Linked DNA regions of Anolis sagrei. The protein of the gene in region 1 binds, or shares a complex with, the protein of each later gene. Links are inferred from orthologs where the notes say so. Each region holds a gene or a part of one and is shown on either strand. Other genes may lie near its edges.

Region 1 (7,790 bases):
CATGAGGAACTGTATTATGGGATTGCGGCAGTAGGAAGGTTGAGAAACATTGATATAGTGTTATCTAAAAAAAGTTGGAAAACGAGTAAAAATCAACTGACAATGAGTGTGTGTTTCATAGAATAGTCATAGTAGTTGTGTGTTCAATATGTTTTTATTAGTGCTGGAATTATTTATGTTGTAATAGTTTTATATCTATTATGAAGAAATGTTTTTCTGTATTGTATTATATTCTGAATAAAAACCAATAAAGAGAAAAGAAAGCTAACGGCATGTTTTGTGTTTCAGCTGCTTGAAACCTGGTATGTTTCCACCCCTGTTCCGAACAAGTACTATGGTAACATTTGTTGACTAAACAGTAATGTTTCCCCACTTCTTTCAGTTCCTCGGAAAACCACTTACGCCCATGTTTTGGCAATGTTCAAGTATATCCACTTGATTGAAGTAACCAAGATGAAACATTTGTTTAAGCAGTGAATCAACTGAAGCCGAAGTTATTGTCAAGTCAGATTCAACTTATACTGACCTTATGGATGCAGGATGTCAATGAGTTCAGTGACCTATAGCCCTGCTCAGGTTCCTCATACTCAGGGATTTGGCTTCCGTGATTGACTCAATCCATCCTCATTGTGGTTTTCCTCATTTCTCATTACACTATGTAACAAAATTTGAAAAAAATTCTGTTCCTGGTTTGAAAGTGTTATTTCCTGTTTAATTGTGCGGTATTTACCTTGAAAGTAGTTGTTATATTCCAGAAATCATAGAATCATAGAATCAAAGAGTTGGAAGAGACCTCGTGGGCCATCCAGTCCAAACCCCTGCCAAGAAGCAGGAATATTGCATTCAAATCACCCCTGACAGATGGCCATCCAGCCTCTGTTTAAAAGCTTCCAAAGAAGGAGCCTCCACTACACTCCGGGGCAGAGAGTTCCACTGCTGAACGGCCCTCACAGTCAGGAAGTTCTTCCTCTTGTTCAGAGGGAATCTCCTCTCTTGTAGTTTGAAGCCATTGTTCCGCGTCCTAGTTTCCAAGGAAGCAGAAAACAAGCTTGCTCCCTCCTCCCTGTTGCTTCCTCTCACATATTTATACATGGCTATCATATCTCCTCTCAACCTTCTCTTCTTCAGGCTAAACATGCCCAGCTCCTTAAGCCGCTCCTCATAGGGCTTGTTCTCCAGACCCTTGATCATTTGAGTCGCCCTCCTCTGGACACATTCCAGCTTGTCAATATCTCTCTTGAATTGTGGTGCCCAGAATTGGACACAATATTCCAGGTGTGGTCTAACCAAAGCGGAATAGAGGGGTAGCATGACTTCCCTAGATCTAGACCAGGGGTCCTCAAACTTTTTAAACTGAGGGCCAGGTCACAGTCCCTCAAACTGTTGGAGGGCCGAGTTATAATTTGAAGAAACATTAATGAATTCCTATGGATACTGCATATATCTTATTTGTAGTGCAAAAAACACTTTAAAACAATACAATAATTAAAATAAATAACAATTTTAGCAAATATAAATTTATTAGTATTTCAATGGGAAGTGTGGGCCTGCTTTTGGCTGATGAAATAGGGTTGTTGCTGTTGTGGTTGTTGTTGTGTGCTTTTAAGTCATTTCAGACTTAGTTTGATCCTGAGCGAGGGCCGGGTAAATAACCTCTGAGGGCCGTATCTGGCCCCCGGGCCTTAGTTTGAGGACCCCTGATCTAGACACTATGCTCCTATTGATGCAGGCCAAAATCCCATTGGCTTTTTTTTGCGCCACATCACATTGTTGGCTCATATTTAACTTATTGTCCACAAAGACTCCAAGATCTTTTTCACACGTACTGCTCTCAAGCCAGGCACCCCCCATTCTGTATCTTTGCATTTCGTTTTTTCTGCCTAAGTGGAGTATCTTGCATTTGCCCCTGTTGAACTTCATTTTGTTAGTTTTGGCCCATCTCTCTAATCTGTCAAGATCGTTTTGAATCCTGCTCCTGTCCTCTGGAGTATTGGCTATCCCTCCCAATTTGGTGTCGTCTGCAAACTTGATGATCCTGCCTTCTAGCCCTTCATCTAAGTCATTAATAAAGATGTTGAACAGGACCCGGCCTAGGACGGAACCCTGCGGCACTCCACTTGTCACTTCTTTCCAGGATGAAGAGGAAGAATTGGTGAGCACCCTCTGGGTTCGCCCATTTAACCAATTACAGATCCACCTCACCGTAGTTTTGCCTAGCCCACATTGGACTAGTTTCCTTGCCAGAAGGTCATGGGGGACCTTGTCGAAGGCCTTACTGAAATCCAGGTACGCTACATCCACGGCATTCCCCGCATCTACCCAGCTTGTAACTCTATCGAAAAAAGAGATCAGATTAGTCTGGCATGACTTGTTTTTGATAAATCCATGTTGACTATTAGCGATGACCGCATTTGATTCTAAGTGTTTGCAGACCACTTCCTTAATAATCTTTTCCAGAATCTTGCCTGGTATCAACGTGAGGCTGACCGGACGGTAGTTGTTTGGGTCATCCTTTTTTCCCTTCTTGAAGATTGGGACCACATTGGCCCTCCTCCAAATGTGTGTTTTGTGGCTGACACAAGCTATGTTGAATTGGTTGAAACTTAATTAGCAATTAAGATCCTCTAAACTGGTGTCCAGCGGGATTTTGATTTTATTATATTGGTACCAGCAGGCGTGATATATTAGAAGGTATAATACCAAGATATAATACCATTGAAAAATTATAGCAAAATGTACTGCAGGACTTAATAAACTTTCCCCATGTTTTTATGATAGAACCAATGATAGGAAATTACATTTATAACCTAGGAACAAAAATTGTGTTAGCATATTTATTTATTTACAAATTTTATATGCCGCCTTTCTCACCCCGAAGGGGGCTCAGAGCGGCTTACAAGGCATATATTATATACATACAATATATTATATTATTAGCACAGTACAATATCAGCATTAAACATTGCTATATTGCACCATACCACTATATCGTAATATTATTAGGAATATTACATCTATATAAATAAAAATGTAATGTTCATTTGTGGGATTAACAGAACTCAAAAACCACTGGATGAATTGACACCAAATTTGGACACAAGACACCTAACAACCCAATGTATGTCTTTCACTAAAAAAATGATTTTGTCATTTGGGAGCTGTAGTTGCTGGGATTGATAGTTCACCTACAATTAAAGAGCATTCTGAACCCCACCAATGATGAAATTGAACCAAACTTGGCACACAGTTCTCCCATGACCAACAGAAAATACTGGAAAGGTTTGGTGGGCAGTGCCCTTTGGTTTTGGAGTTGTAGTTCACCTACATCCAGAGATCACTATGGACTCAAACAATGATGGACCTGGACCAAACTCTATACAAACACTCAATATGTCCGAATGCGAACTCTGGTAGAGTTTGGGGTAAATAAAATCTTGACATTCGGGAGTTGTAGTTGCTGGGATTTATAGTTCACCTACAATCAAAGAGCATTCTGAACCCCACCAACGATAGAATTGGGCCAGACCTCCCACAGAACCCCCATGTGGGCCACAGCAACGCGTGGCAGGGGACGGCTAGTCTGGGATAAACAGGAAACCTGTGATCATAACTCAGATAACTAAGGGCCCTTTTTCACATCTTTATATCCCAGAATAGAAAGGCAGAAAATCCCACAATAACTGGGTTATCCGAGTCCACAGTCAGATAATGTGGGATTTCCTGCCTTGATGTTCTGGGATATAAGGTTGTGCAGAAGGGCCTATAGCAGTGTTTCTCAACCTGGGGGTTGGGACCCCTGGAGGGGTCACAAGGGGGTGTCAGAGGGGTCACCAAAGACCACAAGAAAACACAGTATTTTCTGTTGGCCATGGAGGTTCTGTGTGGGAAGTTTGGCCCAATTCAGTCGTTGGCAGGGTTCAAAATGCTCTTTGATTATACGTGAACTATATAAATCTATTTTCCCTAAACCCCACTAGTGTTTACATTTGGGCATATTGAGAATTCGTGCCAAGTTTGGCCCAGATCCATCATTGTTTGAATCCACAGTGCTCTCTGGATGTAGATGAACTACAACTCCCAAAACTCAAGGTTCAATTCCCACCAAACTCTTCTAGTATTTTCTCTTGGTCATGGGTGTTCTGTGTACCAAGATAGGTTCAATTCCATCATTGGTGGAGTTCAGAATGCTCTTTGATTGTAGGTGAACTAGAAATCCCTGCAACTACAACTCCCACAGGGCAAAATCAATACCCTCCTCCAATCCCACCAGTATTTAAATTTGGGTATATTGGGTCTTTGTGCCAAGTTTGGTCCAGTGTATGAAAATACATCCTGCATATCAGATATTTACATTACTATTCATAACAGCAGCAAAATGACAGCTATGAAGTAGCAATGAAACTAATTTTATGGTTGGGGGTCACCACAACATGAGGAAGTGGATTAAGGGGTCATGGCATTAGGAAGGTTGAGAACCACTGGCCTATAGTTATCTGAGGGTCCCTCCAGACAGGCCCTATATTCCAGGATATGATCCCAGGTTTTCTGCTTTAAACTGGATTATATGAGTCCACACTGCCAGAGAAAACCTGGGATGAGATCCTGAGATATAGATCCTGCACACTCAGATATTGTGGGATTTCTTGCCTTGGGATATAGGGCTGTGTGGAAGAGTCCTGAGTCGTGGCAGTGAAAGCAGTGCTCAACTTGGCCTCTTCCAAAGTGTGTCCCAAAGTGGAATGAATGGCTTTGCAGCGTGAGCCGGATTCCTCCTCGGGGGCGCGCCGCGCGCGTTCCCGACGCTCAAGGTTGGAGGAGAAAGAAGGTGGTGGCTTCTCTCTTTCTCTCCTTTCCCTTCGCGGAAGTGGGAAGCAAAAAGTCGGAGTTGTGAAGTTGGGATCGGGAAGGAAAGTGGGACGAGCAAGCTCTTGCAAAGGCAAACCAACCGATCGGGCTGGATTCGGAGGAAAGGATTTGGAAAAGAAGAAGGAACTCCTCCAGCCAAGTTTGGAAGGATGAGCCGGGCTTGGTCATGACAAAACAATGGGGCCCTTTCTCAGCCCCGGTTGGCTTGGCTTGGGGTTCCTCCTGGGATCGGTTCTGCCCAGGGTTTGGGCCACCGAAGGTAAGTCCAAGTTGCATTGTTTGGGTTCCTACAAACAGACACAAGCAAAAAAATGAGATTTGAGGACTGTGGAAAGAGGGCAGGGACAATTTGGCTAGATCTACATTGCATTGTATGTTCAATATAGACCATGTATGGGCAAACTTGAGCCCTGCAGGTGCTTTGGACTTCAACTCCCATCATTCCTCACAGCCTCAGGCCCTTTCCTTTCCCCCCACAGCCGCTTAATGCAGTTTGATACTCCTTTAATTGCATTTGCTCAGTGTTATGAAGTGCTGGGAATTGTAGTTTGGGGAGGGACCAGCACTTTAGTACACAAAGCTAAAGATCCTGTAAAACTTTAATACTGTCCCAATTAATGCAGTTTGATACTCTTTTAATTGCATTTGCTCAATGTTATGGAGTGCTGGGAATTGTAGTTTGGGGGAGGGACCAGCACTTTGGTACAGAAAGCTAAAGATCCTGTAAAACTTTAATAAGGTCCCAACTGATGCAGTTTGATACTCCTTTAATTGCATTTGCGCGATGTTATGGAGTGCTGGGAATTGTAGTTTGTAGCTTAAGTACTAATTTGATACTCCTAATTTGATACTCCTTTAATTGCATTTGCCCAATGTTATGGAGTGCTGGGAATTGTAGTTTGGGGAGGGACCAGCACTTTAGTAAAGAAAGTTAAAGATCATGTAAAACCTTAATACTGTCCCAATTAATGCAGTTTGATACTCCATTAATTGCATTTGCTCAATGTTATGGAGTGCTGGGAATTGTAGTTTGGGGAGGGACCAGCACTTTGGTACAGAAAGCTAAAGATCATGTAAAACCTTAATACTGTCCCAATTAATGCAGTTTGATACTCCTTTAATTGCATTTGCTCAGTGTTATGGAGTGCTGGGAATTGTAGTTTGTAGCATAAGTACTGTCCCAATTGATCTAGTTTGATACTCCTTTAATTGCATTTGCTCAATGTTATGGAGTGCTGGGAATTGTAGTTTGTAGCTTAAGTACTGTCCCAATTGATCTAATTTGATACTCCTTTAATTGCATTTGCTCAATGTTATGGAGTGCTGGGAATTGTAGTTTGGGGAGGGGGCCAGCATTTTGGTATAGAAAGCTAAAGATCTTGTAAAACTTCAGTACTGTCCCAATTGATCTAGTTTGATACTCCTTTAATTGCATTTGCTCAATGTTATGGAGTACTGTCCCAATTGATCTAGTTTGATACTCCTTTAATTGCATTTGCTCAATGTTATGGAGTGCTGGGAATTGTAGTTTGGGGAGGGACCAGCACAAAGCTAAAGACCTTGTAAAACTTCAGTACTGTCCCAATTAATCTAGTTTGATACTCCTTTCATTGCATTTGCTCAATGTTATGGAGTTCTGGGAATTGTAGTTTGTAGTTTAAGTACTGTCCCAATTAATCTAGTTTGATACTCCTTTAATTGCATTTACTCAATGCTATGGAATGCTGGGAATCGTAGTTTGTAGCTTAAGCGGCTGAGAGGGAAAGAGAAGGGGCCTGAGGCTGTTAGGAATGGTGGGAGTTGAAGTCCAAAGCACCTGGAGGGCCCCAAGTTTCCTAATGCCTGGTCAAGACCTTGCAAAACTCCCCAACTTCCTAGGATTCCCTTGCATTATGCCCTAGTTGCTAAAGTGGTGTCAAAGCACATTTGTTCCCTATCTGCATGTCAAAACAGTCCAGGAGTCAGGAGAGAGAAAGCAAAGCTGTTGTGCAAGTGGTTCCCATCCGCTGGGGGATTGGAAATCTTGAGAAATGGGGTCTCAGATCACTTTCCAATTGGATTGGCTGAGATTGCAGTTCAGAAGTAAACAAAACCCTGCTGGGCTCTGCCTTGGTTAATGAATGCCTTTGGTTGGAGATAGTGTGCCTCCTTCCTAGAAAGAAAGCTCTTGCAAGGTCCCCAATCAATAAATCAATCAATTGCCTTGGCCAACCCCGCCCTTACAATCTGTATTGCTGCAATCCACAGGGAACAAGCCTTATCTGGTTTCGCTTCGGTTTAGGGACGTGTGGAGATAGTAGCATACTCCAGAGATAAGTTTCACACTCATAGGTTTGGCTGCCTTTGCACTGTGTTTGTCTTGAGCTGGAGGAGTTGGGTGCTCCTTCTTTTGAAGAAAAAGTTTGCATCTACACTATAGAAGGCATGTGGTGTGACACCACTTTCACTGCTATGGAATGCTTTAGTGTGTGTTCCTCCAAGTCTTTTCTGATTTATTTATGATGACCTTCACCTCCATGTATGCATTATCCCTTTGTTCATTACATGCAACACTAAAGGCTCAGGGTTTATACTGACCCAATTAATGGATTTTGATACTCCTGCAATTGAATTTGCGCAATGTTATGGAATGCTGGGAATTGTAGTTTGGGGAGGGACCAGCATTTTGGTACAGAAAGCTAAAGACCTTGTAAAACTTCAATACTTTACCAATTAATGCATTTTGATACTCCTGTAAATTGCATTTGCTCAATGTTATGGAATGCTGGGAATTGTAGTTTGGGGCTGGACCAGCATTTTGGTATAGAATACTAAACACCTTGCAAAATTTCAATACTGTTCCAATTAATGAATTATGATACTCCTGTAATTGAATTTGCTCAATGTTATGGAATGCTGGGAATTGTAGTTTGGGGAGGGACCAG
Region 2 (7,398 bases), about 130 kb from region 1:
GTAGAAGTAAATACCATGGGAACATGACAGAGCAACCAAAATGTGAAAGGATAAAGGCTAACTAGGGAAGGGATTTGCTTCTGGGGCAAAGTGACTTGGTTGGAATACAGTGCTGGGTGCAAACACTAACTTTGAGAAGCTTTTCCTCAAAAGAAGAGCAGGGAGGGAGGTGTCTCATTGCATGAAAGCTGACGTATAAAACCAGTGAGGGTTATGAGGGCTGGACAGCTGCAACAGCCTTGGCAGAGTGTTGAATTGCTGTCTCATCCTTGCCGATGGGAGTTTGAAATCAGCAGTAATCCAAGACCTTGGCAAAAACAGAAACAAAACAAAACTCAAGAAGCAAACTTTTTCTTTTCCAAAGCCTGCCAGGGCCCTAGGATGCCTTTTCTGTATAATGCAAAAAATGTTGTAATGTTTGAACATTTAATCAGTCAATCTTTTTAACCTGCCTTTTAAGCAAACTCTCCTAGAGCTGCTCACAATAAAAAGATGTTAAAACAATGGCTGAGCAAATATAATAAAAACAGTGTCTGACGCAAGACCTATTCTTATGGTCACCAGATTTCTTTGAACAGTGAGAATTTCCACGTATACAATGCTTTCTTGCTTTTAGTTCCTTTGAAAGACGTTCACCAGGGGTTTATTGGTTACTGGTTATTTGTTTACTTTTTATTGTACTTTATCAATAATCTCTCAGCCCTCCATTTATACACAGGTTGAGCAGAGATGGGGACATGGCTTCAACATTCCCGCTCAAAATCCTCTGCTCACATCAGACTGCCAAAGAAGTAAACAACATTTTAAGCTGCCTCAAATTCAACTCTCTCAGGCCTTTCCTTTGAGTTTCCTTAAGCTCTATCCCAATACTTTGCTACCTTTTACAAATATCTAGAATGCTATGTTCTTAGACAGGGGTCCCCAAACTAAGGCCCTGGGTCAACCTAAGTCTGAAATGACTTGACAGCACACAACAACAACAACAACAACAACAACAACAACAACGACAATCCTATCTGATCAGCTAAAAGCAAGCCCATACCTCCCATTGAAATGCTAATTTTATATTTGTTAAAATTATTCTTAATTTTAATTATTGTATTGTTTTAAAGTGCGTTTTGACTACAAATAAGATATGTGGAGTGTGCATAGGAATTAATTCATGATTTTTTCCCAATTATAATCCAGCCCTCCAACAGTTTTAGGGATTGTCGCCTGGCCCTCTGAACAGTTTGAGGACCCCTGTCTTCATATGAAGAGAGACAGATTTGATTTTTTTTCATCCGATACAGAATATTGCTCAAACAACCCAGAACTGAGAAACAATTATAGATATATATAGCTGTGAGACTGTATTCTGTGTGTGTGTGTGTGTGTGTAAATAACAGTCTCACAGCTATATATTGTTGGTTGTTTATCTAACAAGAGCTGTGGCAGGTCAAATCCAGTTATGAATCCAACTTTAAACAGCTCTTACGACCATTAGCTGCAGCCTGGTCAGTCTTACAACAGTGGTGTTTCCAAACTCTGGTTTTCCAAGTATTTTGGATTCGGCTCTCAGAATCCTCACTAACCGATCAAGACACTTGAGGCTCCTGGGAGTTGAAGTTCATAATACCTGGAGGACTAGATTTTGCAAATCACTGGTGCATAGTGTTGATGTGACTATAGCATATCAAGCATGTGTCTCCTTGCCCCAACTATAAATATGAGTCTTGGAACAATAATAGGCCAAAAAAGTCCAGTAAAATTTGACTTCAGGTATATCATATGGTTTGAGCAGTAAATTTTGAGGACAAAGCATTGGAGGGTAGAACTGGCAACTTCTACCCTCCTTAAATTGTTTAAGGTGGATTGAAAGAGTGATTAATACCTAGTCATACGCAGCCATTCTATTCTATTGTTGTTTCAAGAAATAGGTTTGGTTCTATTGGCCTTTGAAAACCCCTTTAATGAGGAACAAAAGCCGAAGAGACACCCATCTGCACAACACAGGAAGAAAACAACTCACCTTCAACTACTTTTTAATTCTCTTTCAAGGTAGTATCTGTAAATGCTAACATATAAGCAAATAGGGAAAGAACATAGATGAGCATGTATTCACCGAAACACAGATGGGTAACTGTACCCATATTCCGTATTAGAACCATGAACATATACAAACATGATTCTATGATGCTCTGTGTTTGCTTATGTGGACACAAGTGTACCAGTGCAGACACACACACACATCAATGGACTAGACTGCTTCAGACCATGTCATACAATCTAGCATCAAAAGATTGCACAAATCTTCTCTTTGCCATTGAATTTTGATTACTCTTTCTTGTCCTGGACATACATGTGGATGCATAACTATTAATGCTCTCAACAGTATATTGGCACAGCCTCAAATGTAGGTGCAAGTATCTAACCTCATTACATGCAAAGGCACAGTTGTGTTGTCTCACAACTACAAAATGACAATTTACAAGTAGAATTACCTCTGTGTTCCAGAGAAACAATTACAATGGTATCACAAAACAGATATGAAGTTCTTATCCTCACCGTTGAGTATTTACAAATACCACATACAAAAGAAGTTGAAAGCAGGCTTGACCCTTAATGGGTTTTTTTCTACTACCAGGAGATGGGAATATTCCATCCTGGAGAAGATATGAATCCATTTGCTTTACTCTTTAAGGAGTCTCAAACCACACCTACCCACCAACTAAGAGGCTTAGCTTCCAAATGAATAATGATGACTCTCATGCCTGGTCTTCACACTTCATGACCTCCATGACCACAACCCCCCGAGATGAGTGGTTACCTTGTAGAGGACAGCAACACATTCCTTTGCCCAGGGCTGGTGGATGCTTTGCAGGTGGGGTGGGGTGACTGTGGTGTTCCAGACACAACAGAAGACCACCCCTACAGCTCTCCTTTGGTGCAAATTCTGGGTCTCTTGTATGCTGCGCACCTTCTTGAACTGAGTGGCCCCGCTGGCCAAAGCCAGGACGCCGACACCGTCTTCTCCACTTTACTCCAAAGAGATTCTGCCTGTAACTGCGCAAAGGGTTCTTTCCACGCCTCCAAACCCCTCCCTTCCCCTGGCTGCTGAAGTCCCATATGCTTCACACTCAGCTAAGATGACAGGACTGGATGCTTCAAATAGTGACGACTACGGAGGATCCATCCGGCATGGCTCACTCTGTACCCTTCCCATCTTCTGACAGCCCCCTCCCTTCTCATCCCTTGCTCTCAGTCCCCAAGATGCTTAATTAATCTGAAGGACCATCATGAAGAAGGTGGCCACGGCTGCTCCACTGCATGCAGGTCAAATCTGTCTGGGTCATTCTTCTTATGGAACAGAAGTCATCTGGAGACACTGAGCGGCTCAAAATGCAGAGGGTGCCAAGCTATTTTTGTCCACATAAGAGATGGAGACAGGCAGGGCCATGTCAGGCCAACTACAGACTATAGCCCCAAAAAAGGGAGGGAGAGGCGGCCTCCTTACCAAGCCGAGCTTTCAAGCTCTTCATGTAAAATTCAGCTGCTGTAAAGGCATACTGAAAGTCACCTGAGGTCACGTATGTATATGGGGTATCTGTCCAAACAAACTTTATTTGTTGTGGTAAGGGGAAGGGTTAACCATTCCCTCCCATCTTTTACTCAACCCAGGCTGATAAACTTTTAACAAGGGGAATTCATGCCAGTCGTATCCGGGGAAGCACTTTTTATTATAGTCCTTACAAGAAACGTGACTGCATCTCACTCACAGCTTTTGTGCAGCGAAAGGAGAGCTTGAAGCGATGAATAATCCTCAAGGCAACACAAGCATTTGCCTCCAGGTATCCGGTCACAACATGGCAGCTGGTGAGAAGTTAAAATCAATATTTAGCCTTGGAATTACAAAATGGCTTCCCTGACTTTGTCAAATATCGTGCCCTTCACAGAAGAGCTGCACCTAGTGGCTTCAGTCAGCCAGAATAAGCATTTTCACATCCATACTGTCATGGGTTACAAGGGACCTACCTTAGGCATCCATGCACTAAAAATACAAAAACAAAGGTTGCAATTAGAAATTTTGCAAAGGAGAACAGGCTAAAATACAGACATTTAACAAAGCCTCTGACAATGAAGTTCCATTTTACAAAGCCTTTTTATGTCTTTTTCTCCTCTTTTCCTACTTGATCTTCGTTGAATCTGTGAGGATTTTAGCAGCATTAATGATGAATGGAAGAATTGCAGTTGTGGTGCAGAAGTGTCTCTGTAGTAAACAATGCATAGAACCATAGAGTTGGAAGAGATCACATGGGTCATCCAGTCCAACATCCTGCAATAAAGCAAAGGCAATAAACTTTGAATTAGGAAAGAATGTGATTCTATTCCAACCAATCCTACTGTAACTGTGTGTTACAAGGTATACAGCAAATTCCTCCAGAATCCCTTACTGACTTACTAAAAATAGCAAAATAGAGAGAAATTATGAGAGTAGATAAGCATGCCTCAACCAACTCTTCTTCTGCATGTTTAATAATAATAATAATAATAATAATCTTTATTTCTACTCCGCCACCATCTCCCCAATGGGGACTCGGAGCGGCTTACATGGGGCCAAGCCTGGACAACATAATACAGCAGTAAAATCAAAACATATACAGCAAACAACAACAACATCATCAAAATAACATTAAAAGAAAAAAAATCATAAGATAAACACAATCACAGTAAGGATGAAAATGGGTGAGCCACATATTCAGGATAAAAACAGTTAAACTATAATGAGATAAAATAGGGGCGGAGCATTTATATGGAACTCATAAAACACACAGAGTTGTGAGGCTAAACATCGTATTTGAAGGGCATGAACTCCAAAAAGCACTGATTTATAAATTTGGCCTTCAAAATGGAAACCACCAGAAAACCTGGACGATGTCAAGAAAGAGTCTGGAAGAAACCAGGGAACTAGCAGGTAAAATCAAAACAAAAAGAATCAGGAGGCCTCAATATTTCCAGGAATTTGCTTCTTTTCGGATGAGCCTTATTTTCCTTATTTAGCACTCTGATTTATTCTACAGTATATGTTATTTGAGATGGTTACATTTATAGTTTACATAATTGTATTACATTGTTTCCATTTATTAACTACAGAACATCCAAAATGCTCTGAACTCTTTCTTGCCACAAATAACTTGTGTTGGTTTATGGTAGAGTAATCCAAACATTTCATGCTCTCTAGCAGAGAATTTAAGTACTTAGATCAGAGCTTTCCAAACATTGCATGTGTGGGTGACACACTTTTTAGACCTGCATCATTTTGCAACATAGTAATATAAACCTTTCATTTATATTCTTAAAAATATACGATTTACTGTTTTCTCATAGACTCAGAGGTTGTTTTTTTGTTACATTCATGCAATGCATTCATGCTACACACATACATAATGTCTTACTATGCATTACTATGAGTCAATATAGAGGAAAATCTATATCAGGGGTCCTCAAACTTTTTAAACAGAGGGCCAGGTCACAGTCCCTCAAATTGTTGGAGGGCTGGATTATAATTTGGGGAAAAATGAATTAATTCCTATGCAAACTCCACATATCTTATTTGTAGTGCAAAAACATTTAAAACAATACCAATAACTAAAATGAATAACAATGTTAACAAATATAAACTTATTAGTATTTCAGTGGGAAATGTGGGCCTGCTTTTGGCTGATGAGATAGGGTTGTTGTTGTTGTGTGCTTTCAAGTCGTTTCAGGCTTAGGTTGATCCTGAGTGAGGGCTGGGTAAATGACCTTGGAGGGTCATATCTGGCCCCCGGGCCTTAGGTTGAGGACCCCTGATCTATATACTATATATTATGTATCTTTTCGGCACACCAGCCCTATGTGTCATGAAATATATGATGTACAATTGAATGGAATTGTATGAAAGATGAATGAATGAGAGCTAATAATTTTGGAGACACCATTCTGAACACTAAGGCCTGGAGGACAGATACACTCGGGGACTTTAATTAAAGATTGCCAAACTGCTGACATTAATAACCAGTGACAATGATTAACTGTTGAACTTTTGGGGGAAAACAACATGTTTACATTGATAAGAGACAATACCTCTTTAAGTTAAGGAAATTCTTACAAGATTCCTTATGTTCAGAAGGAACTCAACACAAGCCTTGCATTTACCAACACCAATTAAGAAGAGTCAACATCTGTCCAGGAAGCGATGAAGCCAGGATGTTTCCAACTGGAAAAATATCTATCATTTATTTACAACTTTGGAACAACATCAGCAGAAAATTGTTATACAAGAGACCTTATTAAAATTCAAAAATAGTGATAGACAGTGGCTGTTAAACCAACCCCCCCCCCCCCCCCCCCCAATGCTCTGCTCCTTGGGAAAGAGAGAGATGGTGTATGTATTTGGGAGTGACAGATCTGCAATGGAACGCAGTTTGGTCACTTGCCTCCTTTTCTCAAGGGAAGAGAAAGGAGTGTAATTTTGGAGTTTTGGATTTTGTGCAGGGAGTCAGTTTCTGCTATATGGAAAACAGGGATCTGATCCTTGGCATTGTTTTTAGGGAAAGAGGATGCATTTTAGAATTTTAGAAGTTTTAGAGGTTTTTGAAATATTGGGAATCTGACTTAAGATATGTTCTTCTCCAGGAGATGACGGAGGAATGTATGCATGAAGATGAATATATGGGTAATGTGAATGCCCCTGGGCTGAGAACAGCGGTATATAAGCAAAGTAAATAAATAAATAAATAAAATGCTGAGTAAAAATGTAATTCCCCTTTGTTTGTTTGTTAGCCAGTGTAGGTTGTTTGTGCATTCAATGTAGTTGCATTAAAACTGCATGCCTGCATGTCAAATGTTGTTCTGTAAAAATTTAAAAGTTCTGATATCCTTTCTCATACTGGAAAATCGCAATAAAAAGAATAAATAAACTTTATTTATACTCTGCCACCATCTCCCCGACAGGGACTCGGGGCGGCTTACATGAGGCCAAGCCCAGACAACATATTACAGCAAAATAAAACCAAAACATAAGCAACAAGCAACAACATCATAAGTACATAAGAACATATACTTTAAAGTTATTGAAAAGTTATTTATAACATATATACATTAAGAGGTTAAAACTCTCCAGTTTTAGTACAATCTTGCATACTCAGAAATAAGATATACTGAAGTGTTGTGTGGTTTCTGGGCTGTATGTTCTAGATCCTCTGAGGATGCCAGCCACAGGCGCAGGCAAAAAGTCAGGAGAAAATGCTGCTAGAACACAGCCATTCAGCCCGGAAACTGCACCACACTCCAGTGATTCCAGACATGAAAGTCTTCAACGAGACATTAAGACGTATTGAATTTAGGTGGAATTATTTCTAGTCAGTTTGTACCTTT
Region 3 (7,597 bases), on another chromosome or scaffold:
CAGTACATCACCAAATATCAAAACAGCTATTAAAACCATAAAACAATCTCATCAGTTGAGTCACTGTTCTAGTCCTTGTCCCACGAAAAGCTGCATATATCTATTGTCCGAAGGCCTGGTCCCAGAACCATGATTTAAATTTTTTTCTAAAGGTCAGGAGCGAGGGAGCAGATCTTACCTCCTTTGGGAGTGTGTTTCATAGGCGGGGGGCCACAGCCGAGAAGGCCCTGCTCCTCATCCCTGCCAGCCGCATTTGCACTGTTGACAGGAGTGAGAGCAGGGTGTCCCTGGATGATCTTAAATTGCGAGGTGGGACGTAGGGGCAAAAGCGTTCGGACAAGCTGGAGCTGACAGAGGGAGCTTAATCCACTCTCCTGAGATTCGAACTGCTGACCTGTCGGTTAGCAATCCTGCTGGCACAAGGGTTTAACCCATTGAGCCACCAGGGGCTTCTTGCTCTCAATTAAGCCAGTACTATTATCCCTTATGGAGGATGTGAAAAAATTAACTCTAATGTAAGGTCACCTAATATATTCATGAAGATGGTGAAAGTGACACTTGAATCTCCTGATTCAGAGCTCAGTAGTTTGTATTTTTCCTCAGAGTTCTCTCAGAAGGCATTCGCAAGGAAGTTCCTGCTGCATCCTCGCCATAACAGAACAAGCACAAATTGTCATGCGGGCTTTTCATATAGGTCAGTGGTTCTCAACCTGTGAGTCCCCAGATGTTTTGGCCTTCAACTCTCAGAAGTCCAAACAGCTGGTAAACTGGCTAGGGTTTCTGGGAGTTGTAGGCCAAAACATCTGGGGACCCACAGGTTGAGAACCACTGGCCTGTAGGTGAAATATGGAAGCCAATCTGGAAAGTCCCATCTCTGCTACTGACATTGTTTTAGCCTGAGACAGATCACTTTACATTGTCAACAATGGAAATATGAGAGCCCACAGTTACTAGGAGGTGGTTGAGGACCTGTTTCATGGTGTCTAGCAACTGCAGCATGCTGGCCCTCTTTATTCTTTCTCATGCATGTAATGTATTTTACATATATTGACATTAGCAGGAGAAGGGGCATAATTCAAGAGTGATTGAATGAAAAGCAAGATGGGCCACCGCAGTACACACCTATGTCTCAACTGGAGTCCACGGCAGCAAAACATGAGCCAAAGAATTACTTTTTGGAGGTGTTTAAAGCAGGCCAATTCTGTACAGGTACTGACCAGGTGAGTGAGCAACCCTGTTTCCCCCCTGGCCATGGTCCTTGCTAAGTCAGACAGAAATTCAACAGAAATTTAACTTGTTCTTGGAAGAGAGATGCGGAAGCAGGAACCCCCTACACGGGTTGGATTTTTGTCTATTGTGTACAAGTATGCAAAACCTGGCAGGAAGAATACAGGGAACTTTGTTGCCAGCTCAGGTTTTGTTCCCGTTCTCTCCGATTTTATACTGCGCTAAGAGAAACAGATCTGGGAAACTAGTATCAAAAGTCTATGATCATATTTATTTATTATTTATTTATTTTAAAGATTTATATTCCGCCCTTCTCACCCAACAGGGAACTCAGGGCGGAGCACAACATACAGTATATATGGTAAACAATCAATGCCGGGACATAAAACCATAAACATATGGAAATATTAAAATCACTTATATCCACTTTATCTATCTATCTATCTATCTATCTATCTATCTATCTATCTATCTATCTATTTATTTACAGTATTTACATACTGCCTTTCTCATCCCTGGGGGGACTCAAAGTGGTTTACACATAAATAATGGCAAGATTCAATGCCTTACGTTGGGCACCAATACGATGCCAATACTAACAATTACAATAGTAAAACCACAATTAAACATAAATCACAATTAAAACAATACATCAACAAGCATCAAAACAATAACACAGTCTCGTCAGTTGAATCGCTGTTCCAGTCAGTGTCCCTCTAAAATGCTACATACATCTACTGTCCGAAGGCCTCGTCCAAGATTTTATTTTTTTTCTAAATGCCAGGAGGGAGGGAGCGGATCTCACCACATTTGGGAGTGTGTTCCATAGGTAGGGGGCCACAGCCAAGAAGGCCCTGTCTCTCGTCCCTGCCAGACGCATTTGTGCTGTTGACGGGAGTGAGAGCAAGGCCTCCCCGGATGATCTTTAAATACCAGAAGTCAATAGAAAATATCCTAAATAAAATGAGGGGGGGGGGCAGAACAAAATCTGGGACTTTCTGGTTTTGTCCAGATTCATCTGGGCTGATGGAAAAAAAGATCCAATATTTTGTTCCTGTTCTTTCTGATATTGTTTTAGGCCCCTTCCACACAACTGAATAAAAACCTACAGTATCTGCTTTGAATTGGAATAAATGGTGGTGTTTAGAGCAGATATTGTGGGATTTTCAGCATTGATATTCTGGATTATGTGGCTGTGTGAGATCCATACATTTATTAATTCCACAATATTTGCTGTCAGCTTCTGATATAATAAGTGGACCCTTCCACACTACTCTATATCCCAGGATCTGATCCCAGATTATTCGCTTATCAGATTATCTGGCAGTGTAGACTCCTATAATTCAGTTTAAAGCAGATCCTGGCTTCTAGGGCAGTGTGGATCCAGTCTGAGACTTTTCATGCCAGCTTCCAAGTTCAGTTTATTTTAACTCAGTATAAAATCAGAAGAAATAGAGACATAATATGGGAATTTTTCTGTCAGTCTGTATGTGCTCTCAGTCAGCCTGCCCATGGCATCATTAAGGAATATTCCATATTGTGGCCAGCAGTGTAGACACTAGGAGCATGGAGAAGAAGTGAGGATGAAGGGCTTGCTTCCCTCTCCACCATGAGACTCACCTGGAATTCCTCGGCCAGCTGCCCTTTCTCCTGCCCGGCTTTAGCCTCCACTCGGGCCAGGAAGCCCTTCAGGTGCTCTGCACAGCGACTCATCTCTCTGCTCAGGAGAGAGAGAGACCGATGCAGAGTTACCACTGAAGGCAATGCAATGTGAGGAGGAAGTTCAGGTCCTTTTGTGCAACGCCTCTCTCTCTCTCTCTCTCTCTCTCTCTCTCTCTCTCCACTGTGGTTTGTGGGATGGGCCCAGACCTGTCTGGCACTTTGCCCTCTCCTGGGAAAGGGAATGTGGTGTTTCTGCGCACGGTGATCTCGGGGTGTGACCTCAGCGCATGAGAAGGAAGAGCGCATGAGAAGGAAGAGGTAAAACTCACCACAAGAAACCCATTCTGATCTCTCTTTCTCTCACACACATGTATGAGAGATTGATATTTTGCATCATTCAAGGTTTTGCAAGAGCACCTTAGAAAGAGGAAAATGCAGCTCAGTACCTGAGCCCCACAAGTGTTGTTTGGAGCATCCGGCTGTAAAGTGTAGTGTGATGTGACTTAGAATCACCTTTTGGCCTTACCACGCTACACAGTTACAGTAGTAGCCTAGAATCGGTGGAACCAGTGTCTGTAGTTTCATTTATTTGCCTCCAACAAACTTTGCCCTTTTTATTATTTATTTATTTATTTATTTATTTATTTATTTATTTCAGGCTTTTATATCCCGTCCTATCTCAACTTCCGCAGAGGGACTCAGGACGGCTAACAAATCGGCACCCCATGGCACCCACATCAAAAACATAGATACATGATTTGACGGCAATATAAATAAAATCTATATAAATAAAAATGTATTGTTTGTTTGTGGGATTAACAGAACTCAAAAACCATTGGATGAATTGACACCAAATTTGGACACAATACACCTAACAACCCAATGTATGTCCTTCACTCATTAAAACACAGAAAAACACAGCAGAAGGGACTTAAAAAGCCCCAAAAGGCTAAATGAGGAAAAGCTAAATGACAATACAGAAAAAAGGGAAGAAAGAGGTAGGGAAGGAGAGAGACAAAGAAAAAGAAGGAAAGAAAAGAAAGAGGGAGGGAAAGAAAGAAGGAAAGGGAGAAGGAAGCATGGAAGCAAAGGGAGAAGGAAGGAAGGAAGGAAGTAGAGAAGAAGGAAAGAAGAGAAAGAAGGAGGGAAAGAAAAAGGGGATTGGAAGGAAAGTTAGAGAAGGAAGGAGAGAAGGAAAGAAAAAAGGTAAAGAGGGAAGGAAAGAGGGAACGAAGGAAGGGGGAAAGATGTAGAGAAAGAGGGAGGGAAGGAAAGAAGGAAAGAGAGAAGGAAGACAATAGAGACAGCAGAAGAGAAAGAAAATAAGGGAAGGAAGGGAAGAGATAGAGAAGGAAGGAAGTTGGCCACAGCAACGCGTGGAGGGTACAGCTAGTAACAATATAAAATAGTACAAACAGTTTAAACAATATAAAACAGTATAAAAACAGTATAAAAACAATCTATCAGTCAGTCAGCGGTCACCAGTTTAAATCATCATCCAAGGGGCAGTCCATCAGTTCTATATAAGTCAACATGCCAGCAAGTCAGCCTAATCTACAAAGGTCTGATCCCATAGCCAGGATTTTACTTGTTTCCAGAAGTTCAAGAGGGATGCAGTGGATCTAATTTCACTCGGGAGGGAGTTCCATAGCCGGGGGGGGGGGGGCACAGAAAAGGCCCTGTCCCTTATCCCCGCCAGACGCGATTGTGACAATGGGGGAACAACGATCAGGGTCTCCCCAGATGATCTTAGGGCCCTAGGTGGATCGTAGTGGGAGATATGTTCGGACAAGCAAACTTTTTAGATTCTCCATTGGGGTTTTATAATATTCTAGGGTTTGCTATTATCTGTAGATTCACTTCAAGTCCTGCAGATATGGGAATCAGACTATGAAGCACTACTACCTTACTGTAAAATACTATAGTTCCCTCCTACTAAATTCTGGGATTTGTAGTTTGATCTGAGACACCAGAAAAATTCTCTAGTAGATAAATCTTCAACCACAGAACTCCAGATTACATTGTTATAGCACTGTAATACCAGGTGGACCACTGGTGTTATATGAAATAGTGTTGTATGAAAGGGCCCGTGAACTGGGACTCGGTCATGAAATTCATTTGGTGACTTGGGGCTGGTCACACGCACATTTACTCTGTTCTACCTCACAGAAGAGAGGAAAAGAATCCTATTTGTAGTCTTTTCCTCATTAGAGAAAAGTGTAAGTAATAATAAATCTTCTTGGCTTATAGAGGCTTACTAACAAGGAAATGATTTCAGAGACAGTCCCAAATATTTTATACTTTTAATAGTACTATTTTAAGTACTATTAAATTAAAGGGATAACTGGGGGCGGGGCTGTTTTGCACAGCAGGGTAACTGCCAGCTGCAGTAAATCTTGCCAACTGAAAGGCTGACAACTCGAAACCCGGGTCAGTGTGAGCTCCTGGCCTTTAGCCCAATTTCTGCCTACCTAGCAGTTTCAAAAACAATAGATCAATAGGTACCGCTTAAGCAGGGGGGCGTTTAAGGCATCCACAAGGAAATGCCAGAAAAACACTTGAGTTTCAATCAAGGAGGAAGTTTACAAACAAAGCTCTTTGGCAGGGAAGGTGGAGCGACAGCACCCCTTTGTGACCAGAACTGAGCACAGCCTCCAAGATGCCGAAGATGGTAAAGCCGAAATATATCTCTGCCTATGAACAGTTGTCTGTCTTGTCAGTGTATAAAGGCATTAGATGTTTGCCGTATATATGTGTTCTGTGATCCACTCTGAGTCCCCTTCAGAGTGAGAAAGGTGGAATATAAATACTGTGAATAAAGAAATAAATGATTAAAATAGCCCTGCCTTTTGCTGGCATTTGTGGGACATAACATCTCAAACTGCATGCTACATTGTTGGTGCTGCCACTTCTTCAAGTCACAGAATGAGGAAGGAATCTCACCAAGAAGAGTCAGACCTCACAACCTCTGAGAATGCCTGCCATAGATGTGGGTGGAATGTCAGGAGAGAATGCTTCTGGAACATGGCCAGAGTCAGAATAACTTTTGTGGGCTATTTTGCCTAGTATCTTGCAGCCACTGTAGCCACTGCCCAGGTTGATTAGGGGATTTGAGGACCCGTATTCCAAAAAAGTAAACTTTCTGAGAACCTGAAATGCCCGTGAAGATAAATGCAAAGTTTTGCATAAAAAAGCCACACGTTCTAAACTGAAACTTTCCCCACATTTCCAAACACAGAGGGACATACCTCCTCCTTGCACAATTTCCCATCTGAGGTTGCACTTTCTTCCTGAACCCCATTAACCTTCTGAAATAAACCTGAAGTGCAAAAATTCTCAAATACAACAAACTATTTTCAGAACAGCAAGGCTGCTTTGGCTCTTGTGTTCATGTTTTCACTCTGAAACATCTTGTCCTGTTTCATTTGAGCTCTTTTCTTCAAATGGCTGCACGCATAACTCAAGAGTCCTGTTGTTTCTCCTAGCTAAAGCAGACCCATGAAATCAATGTGTTTACCAAGAAGTTGAATTATTAGTTATTGTCAAGTTGGGAAAAAGCAATAAAATGGAGACATCGAGTAGAGCAAATCATGTTTACTTTCCACCTATTCTGAATACAATTATCTCTCCTGAAACTGTTGGTACTAGTAGGCACCAAATCAGCCATAAGAGCAATTACTCAGTTGTTGACCCTTAGTTACCTTGAGGAAGAATCTTACATATGAAACAACTCAACACTTATCTACTTCCTAAATGACATTACAAGCCTTTTTTAAATTTTGGGAGAATTTTTTTTCATATTTCAGGATTAATGTTGAAGGTTTTGTGAAGTTTTTCGTATGGAAAAAGTTTTGTTTTTGTTGAACCTTGCAAAAAAATGTTGTAGTACCAGTTTCTGCTATTGAAAAAATGACTGGCATAAGAAAACTAGCAGCATTTGACCTTTTTTAAAAAATAGGGAATACTTGTGACTATTATTTACCCCTGTGTTCACTGGTTCCCCATACTATGTAGGTGAAAAGCACAAATATTTTCCCATACCTATATACTTCCAATCATCTCCTGATCCCTTCCTTTCCTCACTCCCTGCTGAATGTCCACTTATAGCTTTGGCACCAGGTCCATCTTGTCTTCAAATGATTTAAAAACCCTTTCATCTCAGGAATGCCTTGCTCAGTGGTTGAAGAACTTGGCACGAGGGCCACACAGCAGTTTTTTAAATGAGCTCGGGAACCAGACTAGCCCATCCTGACTCTGCCATGTCTGGTTTAAGTCTTGGCAAGTTCCCAAAATAGCAATAAGAGACCATCAAAATTCATAACATGCAGAGCTGAGAACTAAGAACTAGCTATTAACAAGTTGGGACTCTACCTAACTATCAAATGAAAGTATAGATTTAAGTTGACCGAGTTAGGTTTTCTCTGTAAAATCAACGTATTGTCCACGTTCTTAAATTACTTGGTGCACATATTTTTGCTGTTATGAAGGGCCTACACTCCAAAATGTATAGTTGTTGACATCTTGTCCAGTCTATATAACGGAAAGGTTTCCAGTCTTCTAATAGGAGACATCTTTTATAATAAGGGATACCTACCAGTCCCTTAGAATCCCTGGTGGCGCAGTGGATTAAACCACTGAGTTGCTGAACTTGCTGACCAAAAGGTTGCAGGTTTGAATCCGGGGAGCAGCGTGAGCTCCCGCTGTTAGC

Evidence for each region. Proteins that work in one complex are often made in the same cells at the same time.
Region 2: the proteins of ERBB2 (region 1) and GRB7 are in contact, whole or in part, in an NMR structure (PDB 2L4K), measured with the Homo sapiens proteins. The link is inferred for Anolis sagrei from reciprocal best matches to the Homo sapiens genes ERBB2 and GRB7. Residues at the interface, in NP_004439.2 of Homo sapiens: Pro1135, Gln1136, Pro1137, Glu1138, Tyr1139, Val1140, Asn1141, Gln1142, Pro1143, Asp1144; in NP_001025173.1 of Homo sapiens: Ser437, Arg438, Glu439, Gln442, Arg458, Glu459, Ser460, Asn463, Gly466, Val468, Lys476, Lys478, His479, Tyr480, Leu481, Ile482, Tyr492, Phe493, Ser494, Met495.
Region 3: the proteins of ERBB2 (region 1) and PTPN18 are in contact, whole or in part, in a crystal structure (PDB 4NND), measured with the Homo sapiens proteins. The link is inferred for Anolis sagrei from reciprocal best matches to the Homo sapiens genes ERBB2 and PTPN18. Residues at the interface, in NP_004439.2 of Homo sapiens: Leu1109, Gln1110, Arg1111, Tyr1112, Ser1113, Glu1114; in NP_055184.2 of Homo sapiens: Arg61, Tyr62, Lys63, Asp64, Val65, Arg138, Asp197, Arg198, Ser230, Ala231, Gly232, Cys233, Gly234, Arg235, Arg268, Ala273, Gln276.

The regions. Positions count from the first base shown.
Region 1 is NC_090026.1:42,798,734-42,806,523, reverse strand, and holds the start of ERBB2 (receptor tyrosine-protein kinase erbB-2), read left to right. Parts: upstream 1-4,790; 5' UTR 4,791-5,043; coding exon 5,044-5,125; intron 5,126-7,790. UniProt on the Homo sapiens protein: Protein tyrosine kinase that is part of several cell surface receptor complexes, but that apparently needs a coreceptor for ligand binding. Essential component of a neuregulin-receptor complex, although neuregulins do not interact with it alone.
Region 2 is NC_090026.1:42,671,188-42,678,585, forward strand, and holds the start of GRB7 (growth factor receptor-bound protein 7), read right to left. Parts: upstream 3,016-7,398; 5' UTR 2,832-3,015; coding exon 2,810-2,831; intron 1-2,809. UniProt on the Homo sapiens protein: Adapter protein that interacts with the cytoplasmic domain of numerous receptor kinases and modulates down-stream signaling. Promotes activation of down-stream protein kinases, including STAT3, AKT1, MAPK1 and/or MAPK3. Promotes activation of HRAS.
Region 3 is NC_090022.1:193,665,581-193,673,177, forward strand, and holds the start of PTPN18 (tyrosine-protein phosphatase non-receptor type 18), read right to left. Parts: upstream 3,016-7,597; 5' UTR 2,941-3,015; coding exon 2,848-2,940; intron 1-2,847. UniProt on the Homo sapiens protein: Differentially dephosphorylate autophosphorylated tyrosine kinases which are known to be overexpressed in tumor tissues.